Saccharomyces cerevisiae S288C: one gene and its partners. The protein of the gene in region 1 binds, or shares a complex with, the protein of each later gene. Each region holds a gene or a part of one and is shown in the gene's direction. Other genes may lie near its edges. The genes, in order: RRP42, RRP4, SKI6 and MTR3.

Region 1 (6,894 bases):
GTTTTTAGCGTATTAACAGCAAGCGTTGTGTCTGCAAACAAAGAGAAAAAATATCAGTACAAAAAATGCTCACCTGACCTTATTCACCCAAAAACATCGGGGAAACGGTAGTAATATGGAAGCTGGCAGGAGTGCTGATGAAGTGCTATACCACAATCAGTCGTCAGTAAAGTTAGGTGAGTTAGAAAGATACGTTATTACATATGAGCTATACCAGGGTGATAGTATTCCCGCTGATATCACACTGGATTCCCTATGGGTAAAGATCAAAAATACCACAAAGCTATCCTATAAACCAGCCTATCTATTGGGCCCATTTATCTTATATTGTGACGTGCGAGCAAAAGATTACGAAAGCTCGTATAAGATCATATGTTCGGCGGATAAACCAGTATTTCAATCAAACCTACAGGCACAACAAAAGTTTATTGCAGAGTTGTCCTTGCACCACATTAAGCCACGCTATGTATGGATAGTGGATATTGTCAGTCAAATACTATTTAATAAAGAAACTAAGGTAACTTTTGAGATAGTAGTCGGCAATTCAAAGGCCTCTTTGAAAAGAAAAATACGATGTAATGATTCATTGCCTGATAAAGCCTGCAATATTTTACACACAGGATTATCGGTGCATAGACTTACCACCGCAGATATATGGAAAGTACCACGACCCATAGACATGTCGCAAAAATCCCATTTAGTCATTCTCACGCATGGTTTTCAATCAAACGTTTCGGCAGATATGGAATACTTAATGGAAGAAATATACAAGGCTCAAATGAACAATCCAAATGAGCGACTAGTTATTAAGGGATATATGAAGAATGCTTGTGAGACTGAGAAGGGTATTAAGTTTTTGGGTGTTGGATTGGCAAACTACATCATCGACGAGTTATATGATGACTCTGTTGGGAAAATTTCATTTATTGGTCATTCCCTGGGTGGATTAACACAAACTTTTGCTATTTGTTACATAAAGACCAAATATCCATATTTCTTTAAGAAAGTGGAGCCAATCAATTTTATCTCACTGGCGTCACCATTGCTAGGCATTGCTACCAGCACGCCCAATTACGTAAAAATGTCATTGTCGATGGGTATCATTGGTACTACGGGGCAAGAACTGGGTCTTAAGGATGGAAATTATGGTGATAAGCCCCTACTTTACCTGCTATCCGAGGAATCCTTAATCAGTGTGCTTGCTCGATTCAAAAGAAGAACACTTTATGCTAATGCCGTCAACGACGGAATAGTTCCCTTGTACTCCTCTTCTTTACTTTTTTTGGACTACTCTCAATTACTTCAGAAACTGGGAGGTCAAACTACGGCACCTTGTGATCCTCTCTTCCAGCCTGAAGTAAGTCCTATTGGGGAACTTCCAAATCATAGCGATGTTGCTAATGATGATGATGGAATCAATGCATCGTCATGGAACACGTTTTGGAAGAGCAAGGAAAATAACTGCGACAAGAAATCTAAACGCTTGATGAATGCTTCCGTCATCAAATCTATGAAGTCTGTGCTTCTATCACCATGCCCCGACGCAAAGTTCTTCTCAGATCCCGATGCAAGGGTCGCAACAATCATACATGATAAGATCTACACAGAAAAGAATTTACCGCCTCCATCACCAACACTTTATGAAGGAACAGCAGCCAAGGAAGGCGAAACGAGGAAGACGAGAAAAGAGATGGAGGAAATCATAGCACGCCGCTGGCACAAGGGGATGCATTGGAGGAAAGTCGTGGTATTGCTGAAACCAGATGCCCACAATAACATCATCGTAAGAAGAAGGTTTTCCAACGCTTACGGCTGGCCGGTGGTTGACCACCTTGTTACCGCCCATTTCCAAAGAGATGACCCAATCGCCTCACCAATGCAAGATAAACAGTTTGCTGAGGAAGATATAAACATGGCAACCGGAGGGGTGGAACCAAACAAGTTCTACTCATGGCTCACCAAGATCGAGGATCCTAGTGTGTACCATGGTGGAATAGTCTCCACAGCTAGCCAGCTCGCCAGCTCCTGGATTAGCAAGCATTCCTCTGTGACAGATTGACTGTCTATCTTGACGTCATCCCGGGATTGACTTGCAATTTACTATTGTCCACACCTACGAAAGTCCATTTTACTTCGTAGTTCGATAAATGCGCTTACGGGTCTTTTTCGAGCGGGACAACTCTTCAGCTCCTCCCCTAAAACCGAGGCCGAATATCCCTTCTCCATATAAATAAGACACTTTTCACCAGGAAAACAATACTTCAGAAGCTTATTTCTCTTGACAAAAAGAGGGGTAAGATCTTTATAAAACATAAAGCAAATCAAAACATAATAACTACTACAAGTAACATAATGTGCTCAGCAGGCGGTATCAGAAGACCAATCCAGATCGAAGAATTTAAGACGGCGATAAGCGGCATGTCCGACATGGAGTTGGCACAGATTAAAACAGAAATTGAGAACAGTATCAATCATTTGCAGAGGTCTAACGCCCGCTTGGGTAAATACATAGCTAAGTTGGAGGGTGCTGACGACCGTCTTGAAGCTGACGACAGCGACGACTTGGAGAACATTGATTCGGGAGACCTGGCGCTGTACAAGGACTCTGTCAGGGAGAACGAAATTGTGCTAAACAATTACAATGAGAGAGTGGACGCATTGGAGCAAGAAACGGTATATAGAAAGACGGGCCATGGCAAGAGTAAGCACGAGGTAGAGGCAAAGGACAACACCAACAAGGGCCCTGACGTTGACATGGACAATTCAAATGTGGACGTCGTGACACCAAACAGCATATTCATTTAAGAGACGGGATTTAGTTTTACTGCGCATCATTTTCACGTCATACTCTTTGTCTCTCTGTTCTATCTCTTCGTATAAATATTTCAATAACTCCATTTGTCTATTCTATCTACCCGTTCTATCCTTACTACTAGATATCTTAAAGAAATAATAAAATAAGTAAATACAAAAAAAACTCGCTATTAATAATTTATCTCCGAAAGCCCTAGGGTGTGCTTTTCTTCCGTGCCCTAGTCTATTATTTTGAACCCTAGTTGGCGAAATTTTTTTCTAATATTCAGAAAAAAGAAACGTAGAGCTTATATGGTGAAGGAGTACAATGATACTAATAGTCTGTAGACGGCAAAAGGCATTCTTTTTGACTAGCACAACGACAGTTTGAGATTCTGTTGAAATAATCATTTATGTCTCTTTCGGTCGCCGAAAAGTCGTACCTATACGATTCACTAGCAAGCACGCCTTCAATTAGGCCCGATGGAAGACTACCTCATCAATTCAGACCTATAGAAATATTTACTGACTTCCTACCAAGTTCCAATGGATCGTCCAGAATTATAGCTAGTGATGGAAGTGAATGTATCGTGAGCATTAAGTCCAAAGTTGTGGATCATCATGTGGAGAATGAACTACTTCAGGTCGATGTAGATATCGCAGGCCAAAGAGATGACGCGCTGGTAGTAGAGACAATCACTTCTTTACTGAACAAGGTTTTGAAGTCTGGTAGCGGAGTAGATTCCTCAAAGTTGCAATTGACAAAAAAGTACAGCTTCAAAATATTTGTCGATGTTCTGGTCATTTCATCACATTCACACCCAGTTTCTTTAATATCCTTTGCTATTTATTCAGCGTTGAACTCCACATACCTACCGAAACTTATTTCAGCTTTTGACGACTTAGAGGTGGAAGAACTTCCTACGTTTCATGATTACGACATGGTTAAGCTTGACATTAATCCGCCTTTAGTGTTTATATTGGCCGTTGTAGGCAACAATATGCTATTGGACCCTGCAGCCAACGAAAGCGAAGTGGCCAATAATGGCCTAATCATTTCCTGGTCTAATGGTAAGATTACATCACCTATCAGATCAGTAGCATTGAATGATTCAAACGTTAAAAGCTTTAAACCTCATTTGTTGAAGCAAGGTCTTGCAATGGTGGAGAAATACGCCCCCGACGTAGTACGATCACTGGAGAATTTATAAAAATATAGTCACAATTAGATAAAAAGACAAATTAGTTTACATACTAAAAACTTCATGGTTAACAAAAGTGGGAATGAAACCTGATTCTTACATGTGTTGAACTGTATAGGAATGAACGATAACTGCGGTTGCCGTTTGAATATTCATTGATCTGATCACACCAAATTGTTGAATCTCTAAACATAAATCCAATTCGCTTAACAAAGTCCCCGGAATACCGAATGCTTCGGTTCCTAGCAAGATCAATGATTTTTTAGGGAATTGGAAATTGTTGTCTAGCTTCACTGATTTATCCGTTTGCTCTAGCCCAATTAATGTGTACCCTTCCTTCTTTTTCTCTTTCATGAAACTTGCAATCTCATCTAGGGCAACTTCCTCCATGGGCATCCATCTATCAGCAGTCACAGCAACATTTTTAAATTGAGGATGGTTTTTGACTTTGATGTCTTGTACAGTAAGCAGTCCCACACCTAAAACATCACATAACCTACAAATACCTCCCAGGTTTGGCGGCTTATCAACTAATGAAGATACCACAATCAATTCAGAACGTGTAACGACATCATTCGATTTTTTATTGTCCAGATCCAGAACGGTTTCCCAAGCTCCACTTTTTGTTTGCAGTGGAGAAGTGTCACAGGAGATGTTCGCGTTGTTAACAGATTCCGTATTGGTGTCTCTTTTATCAAGCCATAAGGACCTTTCATCGGTACCTATAGGAACAATATCTTTCTCCTGCAAATATTTTTCGAAAACAGACTCAGAAATGTACGGGCAATCATGGTCGGTAACTTTTTTGAGCACACCACCAAACATGTTCGTTAATTTCCTATCACCCTTCAGATCCCATATGTTGGCATCCCCGGCACGATATTGACCAAATATTTGAGTCTTTTTGGCATTGGAATATAAGTTCTCAATGATGTTTCTCAGTGTGTGATCCGATAGGTAGGCTTTGAATGTAGGCCATAATGAAATTATTAGAGAATTAGAAAAATGCCTTACCAGAGGTTTGTTTGAAGCTGCGTTAGGAACTAACGTGCAAATGAATCTGTCTAGTAACTGTGTAAATCCATATTTCTTTTCGTCGTTTCTTAAATCTTTCAACACCATAAAGCATATTTTTTCTGCGCTAACTACAAACACCGGTTTGCTATGATCCTCCAGCAATGAGAAGAGATAATCCTCAGCAAATTTTGGATTGCCAGTTTTATAATAATCAACAACCTTTGAGGAAATGAACCATTCTTTATATACTCTTACTAGTGGTGAACTTTCATCCTCGATACTCTTTAGAATTCTGATCATGCTAGTTTCGCTTAATTTTTTTTCATTGGTGGTTAGTAGTGATAATAATAACAATTGCCACTGCAACAACCTCTGTAACGCTTCGGCACCGTCGGTTCTCTTTATAGCATAAAGTGCGTTTGTTTTTTCAGTAACTTTTTCGATTAATCGAATTTTCAACTGATCATTTGCATATAAAATAGAATCAATAATAGATACTCTAGCCAATATTTCGTCGGGTCCGTACACCTTTTCATAAAGTTCATCGCCTTTTATGTAATAATTGTTCAGTTTGTGGTCAAATAGGCTGGAAATAACAGGTTTGAGCTTGTAAAGGTTGACATCCATTTGCGGCTGTTTGAAAACACCTACTATAATGTTAATCAACCACCAATAGTTGACATCTTCTCTTAACAATTTCCCATAAAACTTCATAAATACTCTGAGTTGTGATCCGAGAAGAGGGAGTAGGCTTCTTCTGGAATAACTCAATGATATAATCGTTTGTGCATGTTCCTCCAACTTCGAGGTCAAAGTATCGATATACTGATTTGATCCAAAGTACAGGATCACAGGATGAAATAATCCCTTAATTAGCATCAAATGCAGATCCCTTTCCTTCAAAACTAATCTTTCACTATTAATACATTCCCATATAAACGAAAATTTCTCAAAAATGAATTTCACTATGAAAATATCATCATCAGAAACAGATGTGGAGCAATGGATGTAGGAATCTATGATAAAGTACAATAATTTACAGACTGCCAGGTTCCCCAGATAATTCCCATTATCTTTGTTAATATTCTCGTCAACTAAGCGTAGTAGTATGTGAAGCTCATCATCATTTCCTTCAGAAGAGTCACGATTTAAGGCGTATGTTTTCAGGAAGGTATTTAAAAGTTCAAAGTAAGAAGAATAAGCGCTGTCCTTCACTTTAAAGCTCTCTCTTGAACACTGATTGGCAGACTTTTTAACCATTTCATATAGGCTCAGAAGGTCATTAAAATTTAGCTCGATTGTATCGAACCTACATTCATAAGTCTTCTGGTAAATTTCAGCAAAGAACTTGAATTTATCAAGCGAAAATTTTTCCATTACCGACTTAAATAAATTATTCACATTGATGGATTTCCATGTAGATATTGTAAAATTTGGGTAAGACAACAAAGCGGTTGCATTTTCATAGGTATAACCGTTCGAAGGTTCGCCTGAAAGTAGCTGAGTTAGAAAAGTAACTGCCTTTGAAGTGTAAACGGGTATATCTTGCTTCGACTTCGCAACTTCAATTAAAAAATCGGGAGTAATATCAATATCCTTGAAATCGAAGATGATAGATGCTAAGAGGTCAAAAATAGTATCCTTTCCGATGTTTGTCGTCAAGTTTTCTTTCGCTTGCAAATCGTCAAAGTGAGAAACGGCAAGATCCCTATAATCTTCAAAAAGAGGCTCAACATATTTGTATGTCCCTCCCTTTAACTTAATGTGTGAAACTAATGTAAACAATAATTCAGATGCGGAGACAGATGGATCAATGTACAGTAAGAACTTCAAGTAAATTGTTTGGATTGTAGTTTCGAGAACCTCTTCTTCGGCTGCAAAA
Region 2 (7,268 bases), on another chromosome or scaffold:
CTTTTTCTAATGGTCGCCTTTTTGCCTTTTTCCTCCCACGGCAAACTGCAAGAGCAGATCGCTTCATACGTTAGCTGGAAGTTGGAAACTCGCGCAATACATCGGTTTGGTGGGTGCAACTTTGCGCACCAAATGCAACGAAACGGCATTCAACGGAAGATCGTCTGCAGTGACCTTGAGCGCGGCAATAATACGGGCATGAACGCGTGCATGCAACTCGTCCTCAGTGACTTGGTCGCCAGGCGGGTACTTCTCAAAACAGTGCACGTGCACCCATGGCATTTGGATGGTATCAGTGGCGCCTTTAGTGTGTGCTGCAAAGATGCCACGGAAGTTTCCTAAGAAAGAAATGGCGCTGTCTGGTAGATTCATGACATAGTGGCTAATATGTGACGGAATGATCAGCTCTTTGGTGCGTGGTTGTGGCGGTTGTTGGTCATTGTGTTGCTGGGATCTGTGTCGTTTCTTCAAAGGCAGAGGGATCGTGATCTTGCCGCCCTCTTCATCTTGAATCCACTGTTGTAATAACTGTGGCGACTGGCGGATGAAGTCAGCGCCATCCATGTTGAAGGATTTGACGGTCTTGGCCACTTTGTTCAATGCGATGTTCTCCTTCAAGTATTTGTAACTCTCAGGATTCAAGTCGTTAGCCAAAACGATGACATCCTTCTTGCCCGCAGGTACAGCAAAGGGCCCCACGCCGGCGAAAACATCACAGACTACTTGGCCAGGCTGGAAGTACTGTTTGACGAGTCTTTCATGCTCTGTGTGCAATCGGGAGTTCCAGTACACCTTGCTAAAGTCGAATTTGAAAGTGCAGTTGGATTCCTTCTGCTCTACCACTAGACTATCGCTTTTCCCAGCAATGACTTTCATAGGAAAAGTCCTGAACTGTGTGGCAATGGAGCTGACTTTGTCCACGACACATTCGATTTTGTTGTTCTTGTCAAGGATGACTTGTCCGATGAGCGAGTCGAATGGTTTGAACTCGGTGCGCAAGTTCAAGTGGGCAATGTGGCCTGTGATTGTAAAACCCGTTGGAACCTCTTCCAGGAATTGCTCGGGCAGCACGGCTCGAAGAATCTCCTCAGCTTTCCAGAAATCATAATCGAGCACGTATTCGTGTGGTACAATTTCCGCACTGTTTTCCTTAAGAAACGCCAAGGCGTCCTCAGGCAATTTTCCATACGCATCCTCCACGCTGTGGATGGATTCGTGTAGCAGCACACCTTTCGTGACTGGGGTATTATTGCCATCTGCAGTCTTTAGTTTCTTGTTCTGTACACTTGTCAGTTCGTCCTTTGGCTTGGATGAGTTTAACTTAACAACGTGCGGGATACGGGGCACCCTCAAGATGCAATTTTTGAAGTTTTTAGAAAACACACTGATATTTTTGGGTTCGGGGAACTTGACTGCACACATTGGTATCTTGGTGATGAAAAATGACCTATCCAATTCTCGCATTTGGCGATTCACGGGTGGGTTGTATGGGAACACTCCTGACATCTTGCACGAACTGATCAATCTATTAAATTTTTGGAATACTGGCAGTGCGATTTTCATGCAATGAAAAATATCCTTACCTTTACTTATGGTTTAAACTGGTTTGTTCAAATATCCTCAGTGAATCTTTTTTTTTCTTTTTCTTCCTCAGTATGGATTGAGCGATGAGGTGAAAAAAAAAAAAAAATTAAGAAAACTAAAACAAAAGTAGAAGAAAAATATCCTTCCTTAAGTACTGCTTGCATTCTAAATCTTTGCGTAGTCACACAAGCGTAAACAGATATGTCCGAAGTTATCACAATTACCAAGCGGAACGGTGCCTTCCAAAATTCATCTAACCTGTCCTATAACAACACAGGGATATCAGATGATGAAAATGATGAAGAAGATATCTACATGCACGATGTTAACTCAGCTTCTAAAAGTGAGTCTGATTCTCAAATTGTGACGCCAGGTGAGCTGGTCACTGATGACCCTATCTGGATGAGAGGTCACGGTACGTATTTTCTTGATAATATGACGTATTCCTCTGTTGCTGGTACTGTATCCCGTGTCAATAGGCTGCTATCGGTAATTCCATTGAAAGGTCGTTATGCCCCAGAAACTGGTGATCACGTCGTAGGGAGAATTGCTGAAGTGGGTAACAAGAGATGGAAAGTAGACATTGGCGGTAAGCAACATGCAGTACTTATGTTGGGCTCTGTGAATTTACCGGGTGGTATTCTAAGAAGAAAATCTGAAAGTGATGAACTACAAATGAGAAGCTTCCTTAAGGAAGGTGACCTCCTGAATGCAGAAGTTCAATCATTATTTCAAGATGGTAGTGCCTCTTTACATACAAGGTCTCTAAAGTACGGGAAGTTAAGAAACGGGATGTTTTGCCAAGTCCCGAGTTCATTAATAGTGAGAGCCAAGAACCATACTCATAATTTGCCCGGCAACATAACCGTAGTTCTCGGAGTCAATGGTTACATATGGTTAAGGAAAACATCTCAGATGGACTTAGCGAGGGATACGCCGTCTGCAAATAACAGTTCCTCAATTAAATCAACTGGACCCACTGGTGCGGTATCATTAAATCCCTCCATAACAAGACTGGAAGAAGAGTCTTCATGGCAAATATATTCGGATGAAAACGATCCTTCCATATCGAACAACATACGACAAGCAATTTGCCGGTATGCGAACGTGATCAAAGCGTTAGCGTTCTGTGAAATAGGCATTACTCAACAACGTATAGTAAGTGCTTACGAAGCTAGTATGGTTTATTCAAACGTAGGTGAACTGATTGAGAAAAATGTAATGGAATCCATAGGCAGTGACATTCTTACCGCCGAAAAAATGAGAGGTAACGGCAACTAATAGGAATACAAAAGCCGCTGTTTACACATTTATAAACTACACAGCAGACTCCAACGCAATTTATGTGTATAAACTTACATAATGTCATGGCTATGTACACACGATTAGTACGTATAGAAATGCAATTGACTCATCTTTATTGCAGACATTACATCATATTTTGTTGATATTATAGTAATATGTTCATTTTTTTATTTATCTCTATATTAAAACAAAACTTTTGCACTAAAAAAAGAAATAGTACAGATTCATTTTTTTTTTTTTCATCTCAAAATTCTCTCATCAATTCTTAACTTTTTTGATTGGTTTACCACTGGCAAAGGTAGCAGCAACAATCAATGGAAGAACAGTGGTGACATCAGCAAAAAGTTTGACGGATTTGGCTTCAGCCTTGATCTTACCCCAAGACACAGCTTCGTCAGGTCTTGCACCTGCATCAGAACCATCGTATTCTTGACCAGTGTTAATGTAAACGGCATAATCAGCACCATTTCTCATCAAACAAGCATTGGCAATGTGGTGCTTGATCAAACCACCACCCAAGATGATCATACCGGCTCTGTAAGCGGCCATGGACATTGAATTGATTTTGCGGATATCTCCTACAATGTCAACTCTTAGTTGTTTTGGAGATGCTTTAAAAGTATGGAAAAACAACATGTCACCGATTGAACCATCAGTCAAAGATGGACAAAAGATTGGAATTTTATTCTTGTGGGCCCAGTACAATACGGAGGATTCGTCGTTGATTTCCTTACCAAAACGATCTATCATCTTAGATGGGGTCCAGATTGGTGAATCCACGTCTTGGTTAGCCTCTAAACAGTCAGCGCCATGTTTCTTTACGTATTCATCTTGTTCTTCCAACATCTTATCCAAAATTGGGACAATCCATTCTTCAAACTTACAGTAGTTATCATTTGGAACAAGCAAGTTACCAATACGATTCATACCTTGGTCACGCAAAGATTTACCTTTCAAAGCAAATTCACCCAAGTAAGTTGGAGCAAGACATTTGATCAAATCTTCTTCCACACCACCAGCAGAAGTAACGACAGCATCAACCATTTTGTGTTGCACCAAATAACGTAAAGTTTCACGTACACCGGAACTGATCAAGTTAGAAGTATAACCCATGAAGATAGTAGTCTTTTGGTACCCTTCCTCATCGAAGCAACCTTTCTTTTCATGGTCATCCAATTCGTCAATATGCTTACCTCTCCATGATCTCATACTATCAATAATCTCACAGGCAGTACCAACAGAACTAGCTTGGAAACCCATGGTCTTCATAGCTTCAATTAAATCAGTTGCTCTCATATTAGTGGCTTCAGGCTTTGAGTAATCAATACCTTGAACCTTAACGAAGTCATCTGGAATAGGAACAGATGCTTTCAAGACAGCGTCTTGTAGTAACTCTGGGAGTTTTTCGTTGATATCGGACATCTTTTTTGCTTTGACTTGTATATAAGTTAACTAAGCAAAACACGACTTTACTCTGCAGTTAGATACAAAACTGATAGAGGGAAGTACTTTGCGTCAAAATGGAAATATACATTACATTTAATTTTTCACTTTACTTTTTATTTTTTTTTCCCACCTTTTTTTCAGTTCTTCCCGTAATGCGTTTACCGTCAACCTGGTGATGGCGAGATATTATGGTAATCTCGTTCGTGACCTTCCACTGTTCAGCAGCTACTAGTATTATTTCAAGAGACAAGAAACACACAGGTAGTGATTATCTGCAGAGAGACAATTACTGGTAGTCAACAGAAAACATCAGCTTTCATGTAGACTAAGTTGGCTTTCTGGAGGTCCCTAATTTGAAATGTGTACATTCCGCTCGAAGAGCTTAAAGACTGACATATGCTCAAAGTAGTGTTTGGATATATATAATTCAAATTGCGGTATCGCAACTGTCTGATTGGTTGTTCGAGAAAAGGTTGGATGCATTTCTGTAGTAATTGGACCGAGAAGGGTCCTTGCATGATAATATCGTCGTAGCCTTCAACATAGCGACTGTACTCTTTGTCCCAATGAATTCGGTGCGGATTCAAAGACATCTGACCATAAGCTACAATATCCATATCAGTAACAGTAAAATTTTTTAAGATCTTATAGTTCTCCTCTCCTACGGGCATCTTGACTGCAGTCTTGTTTGCGGGTGAATTGGTGTACATTAATACCCTTCTCTCGAATAAGCAAATGTCCATTGGACTCGACACATTTTCGGGCCTTTCTTGTAAAAGGGTTCTTTCAATACAGACAACATGTTCATCTCGTATTTTTTTTACGTATTTGATTGATTCGTGGCATGTATACTCCTGGTCTAAGGTGACTGGTAAATACTGAACAAGCTCTCCTTGTCCCCAAATCCTTCTACGGTAGCGTAAATCAGGGTTTCCTAGCAAACTTGCAGGATTTTGATAGTTAAAATAACCATCTCTATCCAATTTTTCGAATGATGGTGGGAAGAACAGGAAATGTTCTCCCAGTTGAAGATGCTTCGTTGCCTTTGATACAGGGAGTCTCCTACAAAGTAAACTATCAAACGCTTTGGTTCGGTGACTAGATAAGACATCCCTGAAAATCCACGTTTTGGATTTCATGCTGATAAGCTGTCTTTAGATAAGTGGACGATTGCCCACCTTCAATGTACCAGCCACGCTCATGTATCGAAACAGTAGCTTAAAATGGCGTAAAAAAGGTAAGATCGAATTTTTTTTCACATGCCTTCTGAGATCTACGTTTCCTTTGGGCTATGATTTAAAAGACAAAGAGTTTATATGTATCAAGTATGCAATTTATCTAAAGTGAAGAAGTATACGTGCGTTGGTGGATAGCCAGGCTTAACTAAAATTTTCTTGGTACCGGAGAACAATTTATTCGACCTCACTAAATAAGTCACTATCTAGATCCTCTGGTACGCTACCATAATGTTCGCTGTCACTTGATGAAGACTCATCATCGCTCATCGCATCATCTTTTCCTTGACCTTCACCTCCTTCTGCTGCTCTAGCTTTTCTTCTTTCCAATTTACGTTGCTTTTTAGCGTCTTTAACAGCCTTCTTTTTAGCAATGTTTTCTTCTTGTTCCTTCTTTCTTTGTTCCTTCAGCCTCATTTTTGCAGCGTGTCTCTTTTCTAAAGCTTTGATTTCTTCGCTTGATTTTTGAACAAATTCATGATGTAACACTTTACCTGAACAAATACCTTCTTCTATCTTGACCAGTTTTAAAGTTAATCTTGGTCCTAATTCAGTTAGTTTGATAGCTTTCTTACGTGGGGTTGGTTGCAAGTTTTCTGAAGGCTTAGGTTCCTCCATTTCCACATCTTCTTCTTCTGTTTCTTTTTCACGCTCTTTATTATCCTTCTTTTCGACCGGTGTTCTTTGGGACTTCAAACTTTGAGAATGCTTTGCCTTCACGTCCTGATTATCAACTACTCTCACGATAGCGTCATCTTCAATTTCAGATTCTGATGTATAGGCGCCTAAGTCGTGATCTAATATCAAAGAAGAAATATCTTCTTTTCGATGCAAATTCGGCACTGTTTTACTTAGATTATTTTTGGCTTTATAAAGCCTTTTTAGGTTTCTAGAGATCTCTACTTCTCGAATGTCAATAAAATAGTGGCGCATAGAAATTTCCCCTGTTTCCCTGTCTTTATTGATCATAAATACACGTTTGATAGAATTCAAAGAAGTTCTCGCAGGATTCAGAGGTGGGAAAATATTCTGAAACATAGAAACAATGACCTTCTCCACGTTTACATCCTGGTCGTCTTCACCAGATCTTTTGGATGTGGAAAACCCGTTTAGCACTAGCAATGGAGGATTTAATACATCATCATTATTCAACGATTTAGGTCTCTTCAAAAATTTTTTGATATCTCTACCCAGAGAATAGTCCAATACTTGAAAAGTAACAGTAGGACCTTGCGGAGTTCTAGCTATCTTTAGGGAGACATTTCCTGTTTTTTCAGATTGAGTGAACATAAAAAGATGCGTAACACCTAATGGGCCACACATAACAACGAAATCCTTCAGTTTATTGGACTTGCGCTCTTTCAATTTTATAGCCGTATGTGGTTGCATGATTTGGCGGAAGTCCTTTACTAATTGGTTCAGAGAATGGTTGGCCAAAGAAGTTTGACCCACTCTGATTACCATTGACTTAGGTATACCTTGTTCCTGCTCAGGTGTAAGCTGTGCATGTGTTCTTTTCTTTTGTCTTCTCTTGGCCATCTTGAAATTTTATTGTCTGCTATATCTGGATTATACTCTTTTATTATTAAACATACTACTCACTCAAACCCAGATATCGAACTAATATCGCGATGAGATGAGCTTCTTCGTCTACTTTTTTTTTTTTTTTTTTTTCAGTGAAAAATTTCAATTTCGTCT
Region 3 (6,940 bases), on another chromosome or scaffold:
CATCAACATCTTTAGAGCCTTCATCTTTCAGGATCTTAGCTAGTTTACCATCGTCCAGTGCTTCCACATCAATTTGAGATTTATCTGTTTCCACTTCTAATATCACATCGCCCGCGCTGAATGGTTCGCCAACTTTATATTTCCAAGACACAATCCCCCCTTTCTCCATAGTAGGAGACATTGCAGGCATTGAAAATGTCTTTACAGCAAGTAATTTAGCTGATGCATGATAGTTGCATTTGGTTAAATATCTTGTACATGATTTTAAAGTGGAGACTTTGGAAATTGCACTTAGCATTTTTGAATTTTTCCCTCGAGATGATTTAACAATAACCTAGCTCTTTCAATGCTCTCTTATATTCTCACTGGAAAGCGCTAATTTGATTTGTCTCTCTCGTTGCTGGTCGCTCACCCTTTCATAAATTGTTTTTTACTCTTCATTTATTGATTTTACTTTTTGTCATTTTCCGAACGGGGAACAAAATGATGACTACTTGCTACAGTATACGAAACATACAAGGGCATTGTCATGTGCACGCATAATAACGGTGATATATATATATGTATGTATATTATGTGTCTGTGTTTGTGTGTACTTGTCAGGGCATGATAAATTATTCAAACATATTTTAGATGAGAGTCTTTTCCAGTTCGCTTAAGGGGACAATCTTGGAATTATAGCGATCCCAATTTTCATTATCCACATCGGATATGCTTTCCATTACATGCCATGGAAAATTGTCATTCAGAAATTTATCAAAAGGAACTGCAATTTTATTAGAGTCATATAACAATGACCACATGGCCTTATAACAACCACCAAGGGCACATGAGTTTGGTGTTTCTAGCCTAAAATTACCCTTTGTAGCACCAATGACTTGAGCAAACTTCTTCACAATAGCATCGTTTTTAGAAGCCCCACCTACAAAAAAAGTCCTTTCTGGCCTTTTATTTAGGTAGTCCCGCAGCGGAGATTCATCGTAATCAAACTTCACGATTGTATCTTCGTTCAGTCTCTGTTGTGAGCTTGCGTTTGAATCCGAAAGCAGGGGAGATATTCTTACCCTGCAACTTAAAGCCTGTGATTCTACAATATTTTTGGCATCGTGCCTCTTGTCTTTGAACTTGGCCACCTCTCTTTCAATCATACCCGTTTTTGGATTGAAGATAACCCTTTTGTTTATGGCTTTTACGCTAGGAACGATCTCCCCCAGAGGAAAATATACACCTAATTCATTTTCACTACTTTCTGAGTCATCTAGCACAGCTTGATTAAAAAGAGTCCAATCGTTAGTCTTCTCATAATTATTTTCCCGTTCTTTGTTTAACTCGTCTCTTATCCTCTCCCTTGCCAAAGAACCATTACAATAACAAATCATACCCATATAATGGTTTGGCAGAGTTGGATGAATGAAAAGATGATAGTTCGGAGAGGGGTGATACTTATCGGTGACCAGAAGAACTGTAGTACTTGTTCCTAGGGAAACGAGAACGTCATTCTTCCGCAGGGGTAAAGAACATATAGTGGCTAAATTATCCCCAGTCATGGGAGAGACCTTGCAGTTTGTATTGAAACCGTACTTCTCAATAAAATATTTACAGATGGTACCCGCTATCAAATTTTTCATGGGTGCTCTCATTAATTTTTGTCTGATAGTTTTATCCTTAGAAGAACTATCAATTAGATGTAGTAGCTCATCACTGAATTTTCTTTCACGTATATCATAAAGGTTCATACCACAGGCATCTGCCTCCTCTAATTCAACAAGATGGCCCACTAAGATAGAAGTCAAAAAATTAGACACTAAAGAAATGGTCTTTGTTTTTTCGTAAGCTTCTGGTTCTAATTGTGCAATTTTCAGAATTTGAGGACCAGTAAATCTAAAATGGGCTCTGGACCCTGTTAATTGAGCCATTTTTTCAGGCCCACCTATGCACTCTTCAAACTCTTGACATTGCTTTGCAGTACTGTGGTCTTGCCAATTGGGGGCGGTTTGCCTTGCAAATGCTACAGAGCTCACGTAGTGCAATAAATCTTTTTCCGGTTTCTTATTCAATTGCTCTAACAGAGATTCGGCTTGGGAGGACCAGTAGACAGACCCGTGCTGCTGGCAGGACCCTGAGACGGCCATAACTTTGTTCAATGGAAATTTAGCCTCGCGATATTTCGAGAGAACCAGATCTAGAGCCTCTAACCACATGGCTACGGGACATTCGATAGTGTCGCCGTGTATATAGACACCCTTCTTTGTGTGATAATGCGGAAGATCCTTTTCAAATTCCACTGTTTCTGAATGGACAATTTTTAGGTCCTGGTTAATGGCGAGACATTTCAGTTGTTGGGTCGAAAGATCAAACCCAAGATAGTATGAGTCTAAAGACATTGTGTTGGAAACCTCTCTTGTCTGTCTCTGAATTACTGAACACAACATTAAAGTACTAATCTCATCCTCCTTTTGTTTTTCTCGAGAGGGCCCCCTTATTCGTCCGCCTGAGATTGCATTGGCCGAATTGAAAAGTGACAGTTATGCACCTCAGCGGCTATTCCCTGCGTCGCTTGCTGAAGATTGAGGATTATAGGAAGTAGTAAGCTGGAAATGGTAATTTGTAAAAAGAAAATTTCTAATACTGTGACAATGTTATTAAATCGGGGTTGTTTTTGTTTGGGGCGGCCAGCGGAATAATTTGTTTTCAAGGACAGCAGAAGCTCAGAAGAACAAAATCTCCGTGATCTTTTAAACTTTTTTCCATTCTGATGGAATAATGGTCTTGATCCCCTAAATATTTCCTTTTTTATTGCAATTATGATAGAAATTAATAGTAGTCTATGCTGGATGATATATATATCTCTTTTGAGCTTGCTTCAAATTTTTTCCCGTTATAATGATGAGTGTTTTGCTTATTAAGGGTCTAGGACATTTCTATCAGTTTCTATACCAAAAGAAGAAAAAGTGGAGAATTGTTTGTTTATTTTAATATTTTGTTCTTTAGTTTTAAAAATTCAGAAGAGAAAAAAATTTTATTTGTCACAAGGAAATAAAACATAAACAAAAAAGAAAAATTAAGATTTGCAATTCTGCCGCTTAAGCAAAAGTAGATCATTCACTGGAATATATATATATAAACGCATTTATAATCTTGTAACGTGCACTCAATTTAGCTACGAAAGCCAACCAGCAAGGAACCTTTTATTTGAGTAGGTACATTTACATCTTCGGGTAACGCGGTGAAATTGAAAAATTTTAAGGCATTAATAATTGAAAAGCTAGAAGAAATGGATGAATGAATGACATTGCGAACCATTGTGCAATGAACATCATCCAAAAGAAAACATCATTTACACATATTTTCTTTCCAGGGTCCCACTGGTAAAATCTATTAACATATAAAAAGATTTACAAAAAAACTTTAGTGCCATAACTACAGCAGGATCATCATATGTCAAGACTAGAAATATACTCGCCAGAAGGGCTACGTCTCGATGGACGTCGATGGAATGAACTCCGCCGTTTTGAAAGTTCCATCAACACACATCCGCACGCTGCAGACGGTTCATCCTACATGGAACAAGGTAACAACAAAATTATCACTCTTGTTAAAGGTCCAAAAGAGCCAAGATTGAAATCTCAAATGGATACCTCAAAGGCTTTATTGAACGTATCGGTAAACATTACAAAATTCTCCAAATTCGAAAGAAGTAAATCAAGCCACAAGAATGAAAGGCGTGTTCTTGAGATACAAACCTCCCTGGTGAGGATGTTTGAGAAGAATGTCATGCTGAATATCTACCCCAGAACAGTTATCGATATCGAGATCCATGTCCTTGAGCAAGATGGCGGTATTATGGGATCTTTAATCAACGGTATTACCCTCGCTTTAATAGATGCCGGTATATCAATGTTCGATTACATAAGTGGTATATCCGTCGGGCTGTACGATACTACCCCATTATTAGATACCAATTCATTAGAAGAAAATGCTATGAGTACAGTGACACTAGGTGTGGTAGGGAAGTCAGAAAAACTTTCTCTTTTATTGGTGGAAGACAAAATTCCGTTAGATAGGTTAGAGAACGTTCTTGCCATCGGCATCGCAGGTGCTCATAGGGTAAGAGATTTGATGGATGAAGAACTGAGGAAACATGCTCAGAAAAGAGTCAGTAACGCCTCTGCTAGGTAGAATAAAAAACGCCATTAATTGCCACTGTTTATATAAAAGTACATAAAAAACAGTAAAATTGAAAATTGAACGCATTTACATTTTCGTGTTTCTACCGTAAAGCAAAACGCTTACAGTTTTTTCTTACCTATTGATGCGAATAAATCCTTTGGTTTCATAGAATGCTGGAAAACTTTTCTCCTTAAGTGCGTTACATTTTGGTTGACACTAGCAACCGTGTTAATGACAGTATGCTTCTTACTCAAATCGTCCGCGTTCGCATATGCTTCCCTAACGTGACTATGCTGCTTATACTCCTCAGCTATGAAATCCTTATCCTTATTAGAGGATGATTTTAGCGTATAATTTATCCATGTTTGTATCCCCGTATCATATTCATCTAGCTCACGCTTATAATTTCTCAACTGTTCTATCTTACCGGCGTGCGAAGTCTTACTGTTCAGTAGTTTATTCATATCTAATTTCGGTAAGTTATTCTGCTGCCCCAATTTCGCCATTTCTTCAGTACTGGGTTCATGGACGCTTGTCATTTCGCCTTGAGATACTGTTCTGTTTTCACTTTTGAAAGATGCACTGCGCGCTGCCAAATCATTGGCAGTATTGTTACTATTATCATTATCTGTTGTACTATTATCGTTTCCTGCATTTAATTGTTCCTGTGCGTCCATCGGTAGAGGTGGCAAATTCGATTGGTTACCAATCAAACCGGGAACATTATAAATCGTATTGTTGTCGTATATAGTCTTAGTGTCCCTGATTGTCTCCAAATCGTCATCTTCGCCTTTGGAAGGGAATGCATCCCAAGTACTCTCCATCTCTGAATAAGTCGATACAACACGTGGTTTCATACTAGCAGGTGTTAAATCTACTAGCTTCCCGTTAGAATCGATCACGTAACCTGGTGGCGCTTTCTTATTGGCTGTATCCTGTACGAACCCTGATCGTAAGGCCTCACTGTCCGGCTTCCAAGAATCAACATCAGTGGAGTCTTTAACTGAACTTTCTTCCAAAACTTTGTCTTCATTTATGTGGTCTTCCTCATCGCTGCCATCGCTGTTTTCCAATTCAGAACCGCTATTTGACAAATTGGTATTTTCAATGGTGTCTATTTGATTAGGTTGCAATGCTGAATCACCTTTATCATCATTACCAATCATTTTGGAGAAATAACCTGATTTGGGCGCCTTGAGACTGCCTTCATCTGAATCAGAGCTCATACCTTTTTCCTCCTCCTCTTCATCACTCGTAAGTAGAATGGAACCTTTTTCCCTATTAGAAAATTTATAGCTATCTGTATCTTCATTTTCGTCTTCTATGGATTCATTATCTTCGTTTTTGTCTTCTATGGATTCATTATCTTCATTATCTTCTTCTTCTGTCTCATTTGTCGAATATTTTATTGATTCGGTATACGACAATGCATCATCGTCAGTTGTATCAAGTTGTTTCGATTGCCGGTTAATATCAGCATGTTTATCACTAACCGAAGATCGATTATCATCATCACTACTACCACTGTTGCCTTCGTTGTTATCATCTTCTTCAGAGTCTGACGAATGCTGATAATCATTGAAAAAAGAATTTCGATATCCATTATCACTAGTTTTTGTTTCATTTGCTACGGGTTTCGGCTTTGCTACTTTATCTTGCCCACTAGATGTAGAGTTCCTATTCCTAATACTAGTCTTTTCTTCACTTTTTTCTTTCTTTTCCAAAGCTCCTGAGCTCTCGACTTCACCATCATCTTCTTGTTGTAAATTCTCCTCTTTCTCCGCAGGCAGAATATCTGCAAGGTAGCCTCTTTCGGAAACTTTAAACTCGTCGTCTTTCTGCTCAGAAACATCGCCATCACTACTCAAATGTTCATTTCCATTCCTTGTTGGCGTATTGAAAGTGGTATCAGCTTCATTAGTATCCATTGAAACCCCTAAGGAATGTGATTTTTCATCTTCTTCTACAGGAGATGATGAAGAGGGTACCGCTTCCCCTAATGGTGCTTCGTTTTGGATTTCGTCACAACTGTCTGAATCACGCCGAAAATCAGATGTTTGCCTAATTTCTGGTGTCATCTCCCTTGATATTTGCTCTATCAAATTGTCTAGGTCTTCGTTTACAGCCCTATTTGTATGTGGTGATTTTTTGTTTTCACTTGGACTTTTCAAAGATGCTGTCGACGAAAGATAATCTGATTTGGAGTGCTCGCTGGATTTTTTCGCTTGTAATTCCACAGACTCTCTTGAAGCCATAAGTTTAGGCACCCCATCTGAGAGATAGCCTACTTCCTTGTCACTAGGACTAATATCACTCTTACTGACGTTATTATCATTGCTGTCTTTATTTTCACCCGTATTTTCATCATGCTCACCATTAACATCTGTATAATTGAGCTTGGGTAAACTAGGCAAATTAGATATTTTTTGCTTGTGAATTTCTGAACCTTTTGTGCCATCCTCGGAAGAGTAGTCATATTCGTCACTACTGTCCCATCCAGCGCCGTCATAACTTGCTTGAGATGCGCTAACCCATCTATACGATTTCTTTCTACCGACCTGTTCAGTGCTCATAATAAATATCCGCTTTCCAGAAAAAGGGTAATGATCAAACAGTCCCTTTTAACTATAATGCAAGTTTTGTGTTTACCTTGTTAACCATGTATGAAAGTGGTATTTAGGAATACTTTTAAGTGCCTTACAGAATTCTTGGCATGAGAAAAACAAAATAGCTACCCGGAATGAAACACTAATGTGTCACCAAACAAACA
Region 4 (6,900 bases), on another chromosome or scaffold:
AAAAGGGAATCTGCAATTCTACACAATTCTATAAATATTATTATCATCATTTTATATGTTAATATTCATTGATCCTATTACATTATCAATCCTTGCGTTTCAGCTTCCACTAATTTAGATGACTATTTCTCATCATTTGCGTCATCTTCTAACACCGTATATGATAATATACTAGTAACGTAAATACTAGTTAGTAGATGATAGTTGATTTTTATTCCAACAATATATATAAATTGCTGTAATCTAGAAAACTACAATGTGAATGCTAGTTACGTGGAAACAGAAGAATTAGTTTGAGTTTATATCTGGATTTCCTTTGATATATGGATAAGTAAGCTCGCTACGTGACATAAATATTTGAATAAGAATCAGAATTAGTGGGGCGATAAAGCAATTTCCGATCACCTCTCATGCGAATATACACTTTGCACACGTACTACCGCAAGCATTGTTATTTTTAAGGCACCTTTGACATGGCCAACGAGCGTTCATCTTTTATACCCCTTTCATAACTATATGAAGGTGTACGATTATTTTGAATGACTACTACAATTTAGCCGCTAATTATCAACATGAATCAAGCGGCTTATAATGCACTAAAATAATGTATCGTTGTACGATAGGTACATTATCGTTTCTACCATTGCAGAAATACGCGGCTCATATTTTACAAATCTTGGATTTTCGTGGTGAGGGGACCTGAGGGTTGTAGAAAATGTGACGTAGCGGAGATTCAAAAGAACGAAAACAAAATAGTAGATACCCCGCTCTGTGAGTTTCTTCAAGGGTTCGACAAATGAATTTAGATACCGTTCAAATTTTTGATTTTCTTGGCGTTCTAAGAATGTCCTATCACAGCCTTGCCACTATCTGACTGACGGAGAAGAACATTGAGATATGATGTTACATTTTTTTATATTCATGAATATTAGTGCGTATTTACAGTGAAAAGCAATCGTCCAGAAATGCATAAACGAAGAATCGATATATAAAACACATTGTATTATAAACTAAGTAACACGTCATCTTCTGCACCTCCCATTGCGACTTCTTTGAGTTCAATCTGTAAGCTAATCGTATGCCGTTTTTCAAACGTGTTTGAGTAGAAAAGTAGCCACCATATGTGCACGGTGAGCACAAAACGTATAGCTCGCATCAGGCGTTCACCAGCCTTGAATTCGGCTCTGTCTCAAGGAAGGATTAGTACTCGGACACGCCGTCGCCGTCTCTTGCAATAAGTCCATGTTCTTGCTCTGGAATAAGGTGAACTCTTTAAGTATTTTCTCTTCTAGGCTCAGTTCTCCGAGTTGTAGGGCAAAATCAACCATGCCACTACTGCCATGATCGCTGCTTGTGCCAGTAGCATCACCTATGAAGCCCTGATCGGCTTGAATATTTGCGAAATGTGCATTCGAAGAAAGATGGTTGAAGTATCCAGACATAATGCTGTATAATGTTGACTATAATCGGTTGTTTTAGCTCTGTGGTATACTACAGATGTGCTAAAATATGCCGAAATCACCACAATATACAATAAATACGATATCATCATGGACGCATGCACGACATATTACAAGGCGGGGGAAAGAAGAAACGGAGCGCCAGAGCCACAACGAGGAAGCGGGTTTGTGGCTCTCACATCACAGCCCGCCCCTACCAAGATCGTAAGCAACGTGTTCAACACGTACCAAAAAACCATAATGGCAAGCCAGCGTTTACCTCACCCGCGGATGACACATCCTGCTCTTACATATGATCGCGGGCTGTCCACAAAAAACAACCTGGAAATACCAAATTTGGCAGCTACCGCGGAGTAGTGGTCATGACGGAGAGAGTTGCCAAAAAGTGACTGACTCGACTCCCCTCACAGCCCGGATCAATTTTTCCATGCGTTTCCACGGAAATCCGAGGTTTGCCGTTAGAGTCCCAAATTGGCGATGGATGATGAGATAATGCGCCCTTATCAATCACGCTAAAAATTGCCCCACGCTGTACTCAACGATCATAGCTGGCTATTGTTATCGTTGGCTTAGATGGTTTCGCCCGTACAAAAATAGACTTGCATATATATAAAGCTTATCTTCGGCCTCAGTCGTCTAAAAAACTATCTTGCCTAACATTATCTTGTCTTCTTTTCGTTCCCTTGAATCATATATAAGAAAAGATAATCAATCATTCGGCTATTTTCTTACAGATACATACATACGTATAATTCATCAATCATAGCATTAATAGAAGATAAAGTATAATGATCGCTACCTCCAGAGCCGTAAACATGAATAAAGAATCAAAACACAAGAAGGCTGTTGCCAAACCATGCAGAGAGAGACAAACTTCAGTTACAAGAGCCATGAGACCAGCTGTAGCACGTGATCCTCGCAGACTTTCGACGTCGTCGTCTCCTTCTTCGTCACCAATGTCAGCACAGAGAAGGCTTTCGAGGGAAGAAATAATAAACGAAATGGAAAAGGAGCAAGACGCTATTGTAGTAAGACTTCTACGGGAAATTGAAACTTTAAAAGAAGAAAACTCTAGGTTAAAAAATCAACTGCACCATCCGGTCCCGGCTAGAAGGTCGTCTCCATTTTTCGAAGGCGAGTCTGCCATCCTAGATGATGATGACTGCAATTATGGTTACACCCTCGACACTCCAAAGCTAAAGCTCACAGATGGTGCATCCAGACACACCGTACTTCCCTTAACACCCAAGGACTCCATGACCCACATTTCCCATTCCGCCAGAAGGTCAAGCCGGAACGCTTCCATATCTAACGGAACAAGCATCTCAGACACGATTTTCCCCATTGAGACTAAAATCCACTCAGCACCAACAACAAACAGAAACCTTCCCTCCGCCGATCTTCCACATCACACTCTTCTTCCACGTTCTCTAAGCGGCATTTCGTCTAGCGATTTAACCGAATCCGGTGCTCTTCTTCATGACAGGAGAAGGCGTTCTTCCAATTACAGTCTCGATGGCTCAAACTCTTTAAAGGCTGATCTCATGGCAAAGAGATTCCAAACTGGTTCATTGAAATAGGCTGTAAGCGAGATACATAAGAAAACAGAGTTTCTCTAAATATATTCTTCCTATTGATCTTTGGCAATCCAACACATATGCAGTTCGTGCACTTGCGTTATAAGCGTGACTTCTCGCTTGGTTTTTTTTTATAATTTTTTTTTAAAACCTCATTCTAAGTACAACTTTGGCGTTTTTCCAAGCTACTACTTATAATTATATGGTTTATTTCATAAATATATATATATATATATATATATATAGAAAATCAATATACATTTAAGCCTTACTGGAGATGACACTATTTTTGTTCACATTTTTTCTTATGCTCTAAATACCTCGGCCTCATACGCAGAGACAGTGTTGATATGTTTTTATACAAAGTAAAGGCAAAGAGAAGGCACAGACAGGATTTCACAGGCAGCTAAGTAATAACGAATATGCTTGCTTCACATATTTTGCCGCCAAATTACACGCTATGGAGCTACGTTCTACTAGTGGTTACTTACCGCTAGCTATTTAAACCCCATCACGTTGATTGTCTATTTCGCTATAGGTTATTTTGCCAAGAAAACTTACTGGGCAATACTTACATCCATTCAGATTTTTGGATAAAGCAATTGAAGAAAGACGACAGCAATTCGACTGGTGGTTGTTAATTACCCTTTGATCCTCTGATTTAAAGACGTAATCCTTCCTGGGGGTAAGTGCCTGATGTATGGGTCCCCATGCCCTTTTTTTTCGTTTCTTTTTTCACTCCATTTCTTTTTTTTTTTTTTTTTTTGGTGAAAAATTTGCAAGGGCAGCTCATCGCAAGAACGAAAATTTTCAATCCAATATTAAAAGTACTTAAGTGTAGCTGTTGCTGTCTGCACTTCCCAATCCATTGGTACCTTAAGTTATTTCCTTTCGTAGTATTTTTCTTACTTTTGCTTCCCAAAGACGAACTGTTAACCAATTTCGGATCACTCAACCCAGGCAGGATAAAATAAGATGGCTAAGACTACTAAAGTAAAAGGTAACAAGAAGGAAGTTAAGGCTTCCAAACAAGCCAAAGAAGAAAAAGCTAAGGCCGTCTCTTCCTCTTCCTCCGAATCTTCATCCTCATCTTCATCTTCATCTGAATCTGAATCTGAGTCTGAGTCTGAATCTGAATCTTCATCTTCATCTTCATCCTCTGATTCTGAATCCTCTTCTTCATCGTCTTCTGACAGCGAAAGTGAAGCTGAAACCAAGAAGGAAGAATCCAAGGATTCCTCTTCCTCTTCCTCTGACTCTTCTTCCGACGAAGAAGAAGAAGAAGAAAAAGAAGAAACCAAGAAGGAAGAATCAAAAGAATCTTCTAGCTCTGATTCATCCTCATCTTCATCTTCTGATAGCGAAAGCGAAAAGGAAGAGTCTAACGATAAGAAACGTAAATCTGAGGACGCCGAAGAAGAAGAAGACGAAGAGTCTTCCAACAAGAAGCAAAAAAATGAAGAAACCGAAGAACCAGCTACTATTTTCGTTGGTAGACTATCGTGGTCTATTGATGACGAATGGTTGAAGAAGGAATTCGAACACATCGGTGGTGTCATTGGTGCCAGAGTTATTTATGAAAGAGGTACCGATAGATCTCGTGGTTATGGTTACGTTGATTTTGAAAACAAATCTTATGCTGAAAAGGCCATTCAAGAAATGCAAGGTAAGGAAATTGATGGTAGACCAATCAACTGTGATATGTCCACAAGCAAGCCAGCTGGTAACAACGATCGTGCCAAGAAATTCGGTGATACCCCATCTGAACCATCTGACACTTTGTTCTTGGGTAACTTATCTTTCAATGCTGACAGAGACGCTATTTTCGAATTATTCGCTAAACACGGTGAAGTTGTTTCCGTCCGTATCCCAACACATCCAGAAACTGAACAACCAAAAGGTTTCGGTTATGTTCAATTCTCCAACATGGAGGACGCCAAGAAGGCTCTAGACGCTTTACAAGGTGAATACATTGACAACAGACCAGTTAGATTAGACTTCTCTTCTCCAAGACCAAACAACGATGGTGGTCGTGGCGGTAGCCGTGGTTTTGGTGGTCGTGGCGGTGGTCGTGGCGGTAACCGTGGATTCGGTGGTCGTGGTGGCGCTCGCGGTGGCCGTGGCGGTTTCAGACCATCTGGTTCTGGTGCTAATACTGCTCCATTGGGCAGATCAAGAAATACCGCTTCTTTCGCTGGTTCAAAGAAAACATTTGATTAATGAGAAAATGAAATGAATTTCAATTTCAATTTTTTCTCTTTTTACGTTAATTACTATATTCCATTTTTGAGGAAAAATTTGGTCTATAATATTTTGTGTACATTAGTAAGTAAATAGGATACATTCTTAAACCTTTCATTCACCATCTCTATTTGCCAACTTTTCTTCGAATGGCTTACTCTTTTTTTTTTCACGATGAGATGAGATCGCTAGATACGGAAGATTACAAGGCCTTGGAAAATACTCAAAAAATTTCAGTAATATGAAATGAATATCTAAATAAAAGCTTGGGCGTTGTGCTTGATTGAGCCACGAAAACTTCCTTTAAGGATTAGCACATACTCCACTTAAAAGTAGGAACATACTCACATTAAGGTGTTATCAGAATAAATGAATGTTCAAGACAGAAGGAGGTTATTAGGCCCTGCTGCTGCCAAGCCAATGGCGTTTAGCAACACTACTACTCATGTGCCAGAAAAGAAATCAACAGATTTGACACCTAAAGGCAATGAAAGTGAACAGGAACTTTCTCTACATACCGGTTTCATCGAAAACTGCAATGGATCTGCATTAGTAGAAGCTAGAAGCTTAGGACACCAAACATCGCTCATTACCGCTGTCTATGGACCACGCTCCATTAGAGGATCCTTCACATCTCAAGGTACTATATCTATTCAGTTAAAGAACGGTCTTCTGGAAAAATATAACACAAATGAACTGAAGGAAGTTAGCAGCTTTTTAATGGGCATTTTCAATTCAGTAGTAAACCTATCTCGCTACCCCAAGTCCGGCATCGATATCTTCGTTTATTTAACGTATGATAAGGATCTTACAAATAATCCTCAGGACGACGATTCGCAAAGCAAAATGATGTCTTCTCAAATATCATCTCTCATACCACATTGTATCACTAGTATAACGCTAGCCTTAGCTGATGCCGGCATCGAATTAGTGGATATGGCAGGTGCCGGTGAGGCCAATGGCACTGTCGTATCATTCATCAAAAATGGAGAGGAAATTGTAGGTTTTTGGAAGGATGATGGTGACGATGAAGATCTTTTGGAATGCCTTGATCGTTGCAAGGAGCAATATAACCGTTATAGAGATTTAATGATAAGCTGTTTAATGAACCAGGAAACTTAGACACGAGATTATCCTAGTCGGAAAGAAAAGTGAAAGAGGTTAAGAAAAAATTCATGGTAAAAGAAGCGCACAAAGGCATTGTACATCAACATCATAATTTATAATGTCATTCTGCATATATGGTAGCTCCATTATATTACAACAACATAACTACTTCTATTCAAAATGTTAACTTGAATCCTAGTACTTTTTAAATATATATACTCAAAAAAAAAAAACTCAAGCAAGACTATCAAGCGTTTGTTTTATATCCCAAGCGCGATGCGAAATAACGTGAGCGTCACCATTGACTCTCCTCATATACTCAGACGAAAGTTCGACGCCAATTGAGTTCTTAATCAATTGTTTCAAGCTGTCCATCCCGAAGAACTTATTTCCTAATGGACGAAATTTACCATCCTTCAAAACGTTGACTTTCGTCAAAAACTCAGTCAAATCCTTCTCAAACAGTTCAGGTGTCGTGGTATTTAGTACCGGCAATGAAATTTCAAATGGTGTAG

Evidence for each region.
Region 2: the proteins of RRP42 (region 1) and RRP4 are in contact, whole or in part, in a cryo-EM structure (PDB 5G06), measured with the Saccharomyces cerevisiae proteins. Residues at the interface, in NP_010172.1 of Saccharomyces cerevisiae: Met1 (codon at 3,207), Ser2 (codon at 3,210), Leu3 (codon at 3,213), Ser4 (codon at 3,216), Val5 (codon at 3,219), Ala6 (codon at 3,222), Glu7 (codon at 3,225), Ser9 (codon at 3,231), Tyr10 (codon at 3,234), Leu11 (codon at 3,237), Asp13 (codon at 3,243), Ser14 (codon at 3,246), Ser17 (codon at 3,255), Pro19 (codon at 3,261), Ile21 (codon at 3,267), Arg22 (codon at 3,270), Pro23 (codon at 3,273), Asp24 (codon at 3,276), Gly25 (codon at 3,279), Arg26 (codon at 3,282), Leu27 (codon at 3,285), His29 (codon at 3,291), Gln30 (codon at 3,294), Phe31 (codon at 3,297), Arg32 (codon at 3,300), Pro33 (codon at 3,303), Ile34 (codon at 3,306), Glu35 (codon at 3,309), Ile36 (codon at 3,312), Phe37 (codon at 3,315); in NP_011936.1 of Saccharomyces cerevisiae: Ser2 (codon at 1,789), Val4 (codon at 1,795), Ile5 (codon at 1,798), Thr6 (codon at 1,801), Ile7 (codon at 1,804), Thr8 (codon at 1,807), Lys9 (codon at 1,810), Arg10 (codon at 1,813), Asn11 (codon at 1,816), Gly12 (codon at 1,819), Ala13 (codon at 1,822), Phe14 (codon at 1,825), Gln15 (codon at 1,828), Asn16 (codon at 1,831), Arg115 (codon at 2,128), Lys164 (codon at 2,275), Glu165 (codon at 2,278), Gly166 (codon at 2,281), Asp167 (codon at 2,284), Leu168 (codon at 2,287), Leu194 (codon at 2,365), Arg195 (codon at 2,368), Asn196 (codon at 2,371), Gly197 (codon at 2,374), Met198 (codon at 2,377), Phe199 (codon at 2,380), Trp232 (codon at 2,479), Asp283 (codon at 2,632), Asn285 (codon at 2,638), Ile289 (codon at 2,650).
Region 3: the proteins of RRP42 (region 1) and SKI6 are in contact, whole or in part, in a crystal structure (PDB 5OKZ), measured with the Saccharomyces cerevisiae proteins. Residues at the interface, in NP_010172.1 of Saccharomyces cerevisiae: Phe40 (codon at 3,324), Leu41 (codon at 3,327), Pro42 (codon at 3,330), Ser43 (codon at 3,333), Arg49 (codon at 3,351), Ile51 (codon at 3,357), Gly55 (codon at 3,369), Glu57 (codon at 3,375), Ile59 (codon at 3,381), Ser61 (codon at 3,387), Lys63 (codon at 3,393), Gln77 (codon at 3,435), Asp79 (codon at 3,441), Asp81 (codon at 3,447), Ala83 (codon at 3,453), Phe125 (codon at 3,579), Asp127 (codon at 3,585), Leu129 (codon at 3,591), Ile131 (codon at 3,597), Ser132 (codon at 3,600); in NP_011711.3 of Saccharomyces cerevisiae: Thr31 (codon at 3,529), His32 (codon at 3,532), His34 (codon at 3,538), Ala35 (codon at 3,541), Lys48 (codon at 3,580), Ile50 (codon at 3,586), Leu52 (codon at 3,592), Asn77 (codon at 3,667), Thr79 (codon at 3,673), Lys80 (codon at 3,676), Phe81 (codon at 3,679), Lys83 (codon at 3,685), Arg86 (codon at 3,694), Glu125 (codon at 3,811), His127 (codon at 3,817), Leu129 (codon at 3,823), Glu130 (codon at 3,826).
Region 4: the proteins of RRP42 (region 1) and MTR3 are in contact, whole or in part, in a cryo-EM structure (PDB 5G06), measured with the Saccharomyces cerevisiae proteins. Residues at the interface, in NP_010172.1 of Saccharomyces cerevisiae: Leu90 (codon at 3,474), Glu93 (codon at 3,483), Thr94 (codon at 3,486), Thr96 (codon at 3,492), Ser97 (codon at 3,495), Leu98 (codon at 3,498), Lys101 (codon at 3,507), Lys104 (codon at 3,516), Ser107 (codon at 3,525), Asn211 (codon at 3,837), Leu213 (codon at 3,843), Lys221 (codon at 3,867), Ile222 (codon at 3,870), Thr223 (codon at 3,873), Ser224 (codon at 3,876), Pro225 (codon at 3,879), Ile226 (codon at 3,882), Arg227 (codon at 3,885), Ser228 (codon at 3,888), Ala230 (codon at 3,894), Asn232 (codon at 3,900), Asp233 (codon at 3,903), Ser234 (codon at 3,906), Val236 (codon at 3,912), Lys237 (codon at 3,915), Ser238 (codon at 3,918), Phe239 (codon at 3,921), Lys240 (codon at 3,924), Pro241 (codon at 3,927), Leu244 (codon at 3,936); in NP_011674.3 of Saccharomyces cerevisiae: Gln90 (codon at 5,915), Thr107 (codon at 5,966), Asn108 (codon at 5,969), Glu109 (codon at 5,972), Lys111 (codon at 5,978), Glu112 (codon at 5,981), Ser115 (codon at 5,990), Phe116 (codon at 5,993), Gly119 (codon at 6,002), Asn122 (codon at 6,011), Ser123 (codon at 6,014), Ser163 (codon at 6,134), Ile165 (codon at 6,140), Ile204 (codon at 6,257), Glu208 (codon at 6,269), Glu209 (codon at 6,272), Ile210 (codon at 6,275), Val211 (codon at 6,278), Gly212 (codon at 6,281), Phe213 (codon at 6,284), Trp214 (codon at 6,287), Lys215 (codon at 6,290), Asp216 (codon at 6,293), Asp217 (codon at 6,296), Gly218 (codon at 6,299), Asp220 (codon at 6,305), Leu223 (codon at 6,314), Leu224 (codon at 6,317).

Annotation. Positions count from the first base shown.
Region 1 is NC_001136.10:260,423-267,316, reverse strand, and holds RRP42 (exosome non-catalytic core subunit RRP42), read left to right. Parts: upstream 1-3,206; coding exon 3,207-4,004; downstream 4,005-6,894. Other genes in the region: YDL109C (putative lipase), read left to right, coding at 116-2,059; TMA17 (Tma17p), read left to right, coding at 2,353-2,805; TRM3 (tRNA (guanosine(18)-2'-O)-methyltransferase), read right to left, coding at 4,092-6,894. UniProt on the Saccharomyces cerevisiae protein: Non-catalytic component of the RNA exosome complex which has 3'->5' exoribonuclease activity and participates in a multitude of cellular RNA processing and degradation events.
Region 2 is NC_001140.6:229,176-236,443, reverse strand, and holds RRP4 (exosome non-catalytic core subunit RRP4), read left to right. Parts: upstream 1-1,785; coding exon 1,786-2,865; downstream 2,866-7,268. Other genes in the region: TRM5 (tRNA (guanine) methyltransferase), read right to left, coding at 64-1,563; DYS1 (deoxyhypusine synthase), read right to left, coding at 3,148-4,311; hydroxyacyl-thioester dehydratase HTD2, read right to left, coding at 4,632-5,474; SSF1 (rRNA-binding ribosome biosynthesis protein), read right to left, coding at 5,748-7,109. UniProt on the Saccharomyces cerevisiae protein: Non-catalytic component of the RNA exosome complex which has 3'->5' exoribonuclease activity and participates in a multitude of cellular RNA processing and degradation events.
Region 3 is NC_001139.9:885,444-892,383, forward strand, and holds SKI6 (exosome non-catalytic core subunit SKI6), read left to right. Parts: upstream 1-3,438; coding exon 3,439-4,179; downstream 4,180-6,940. Other genes in the region: PDX1 (Pdx1p), read right to left, coding at 1-298; XKS1 (xylulokinase), read right to left, coding at 630-2,432; FYV8 (Fyv8p), read right to left, coding at 4,290-6,743. UniProt on the Saccharomyces cerevisiae protein: Non-catalytic component of the RNA exosome complex which has 3'->5' exoribonuclease activity and participates in a multitude of cellular RNA processing and degradation events.
Region 4 is NC_001139.9:804,769-811,668, reverse strand, and holds MTR3 (exosome non-catalytic core subunit MTR3), read left to right. Parts: upstream 1-5,647; coding exon 5,648-6,400; downstream 6,401-6,900. Other genes in the region: YGR161W-C (uncharacterized protein), read right to left, coding at 1,164-1,442; RTS3 (Rts3p), read left to right, coding at 2,249-3,040; NSR1 (Nsr1p), read left to right, coding at 4,013-5,257; CHO2 (phosphatidylethanolamine N-methyltransferase), read right to left, coding at 6,620-6,900.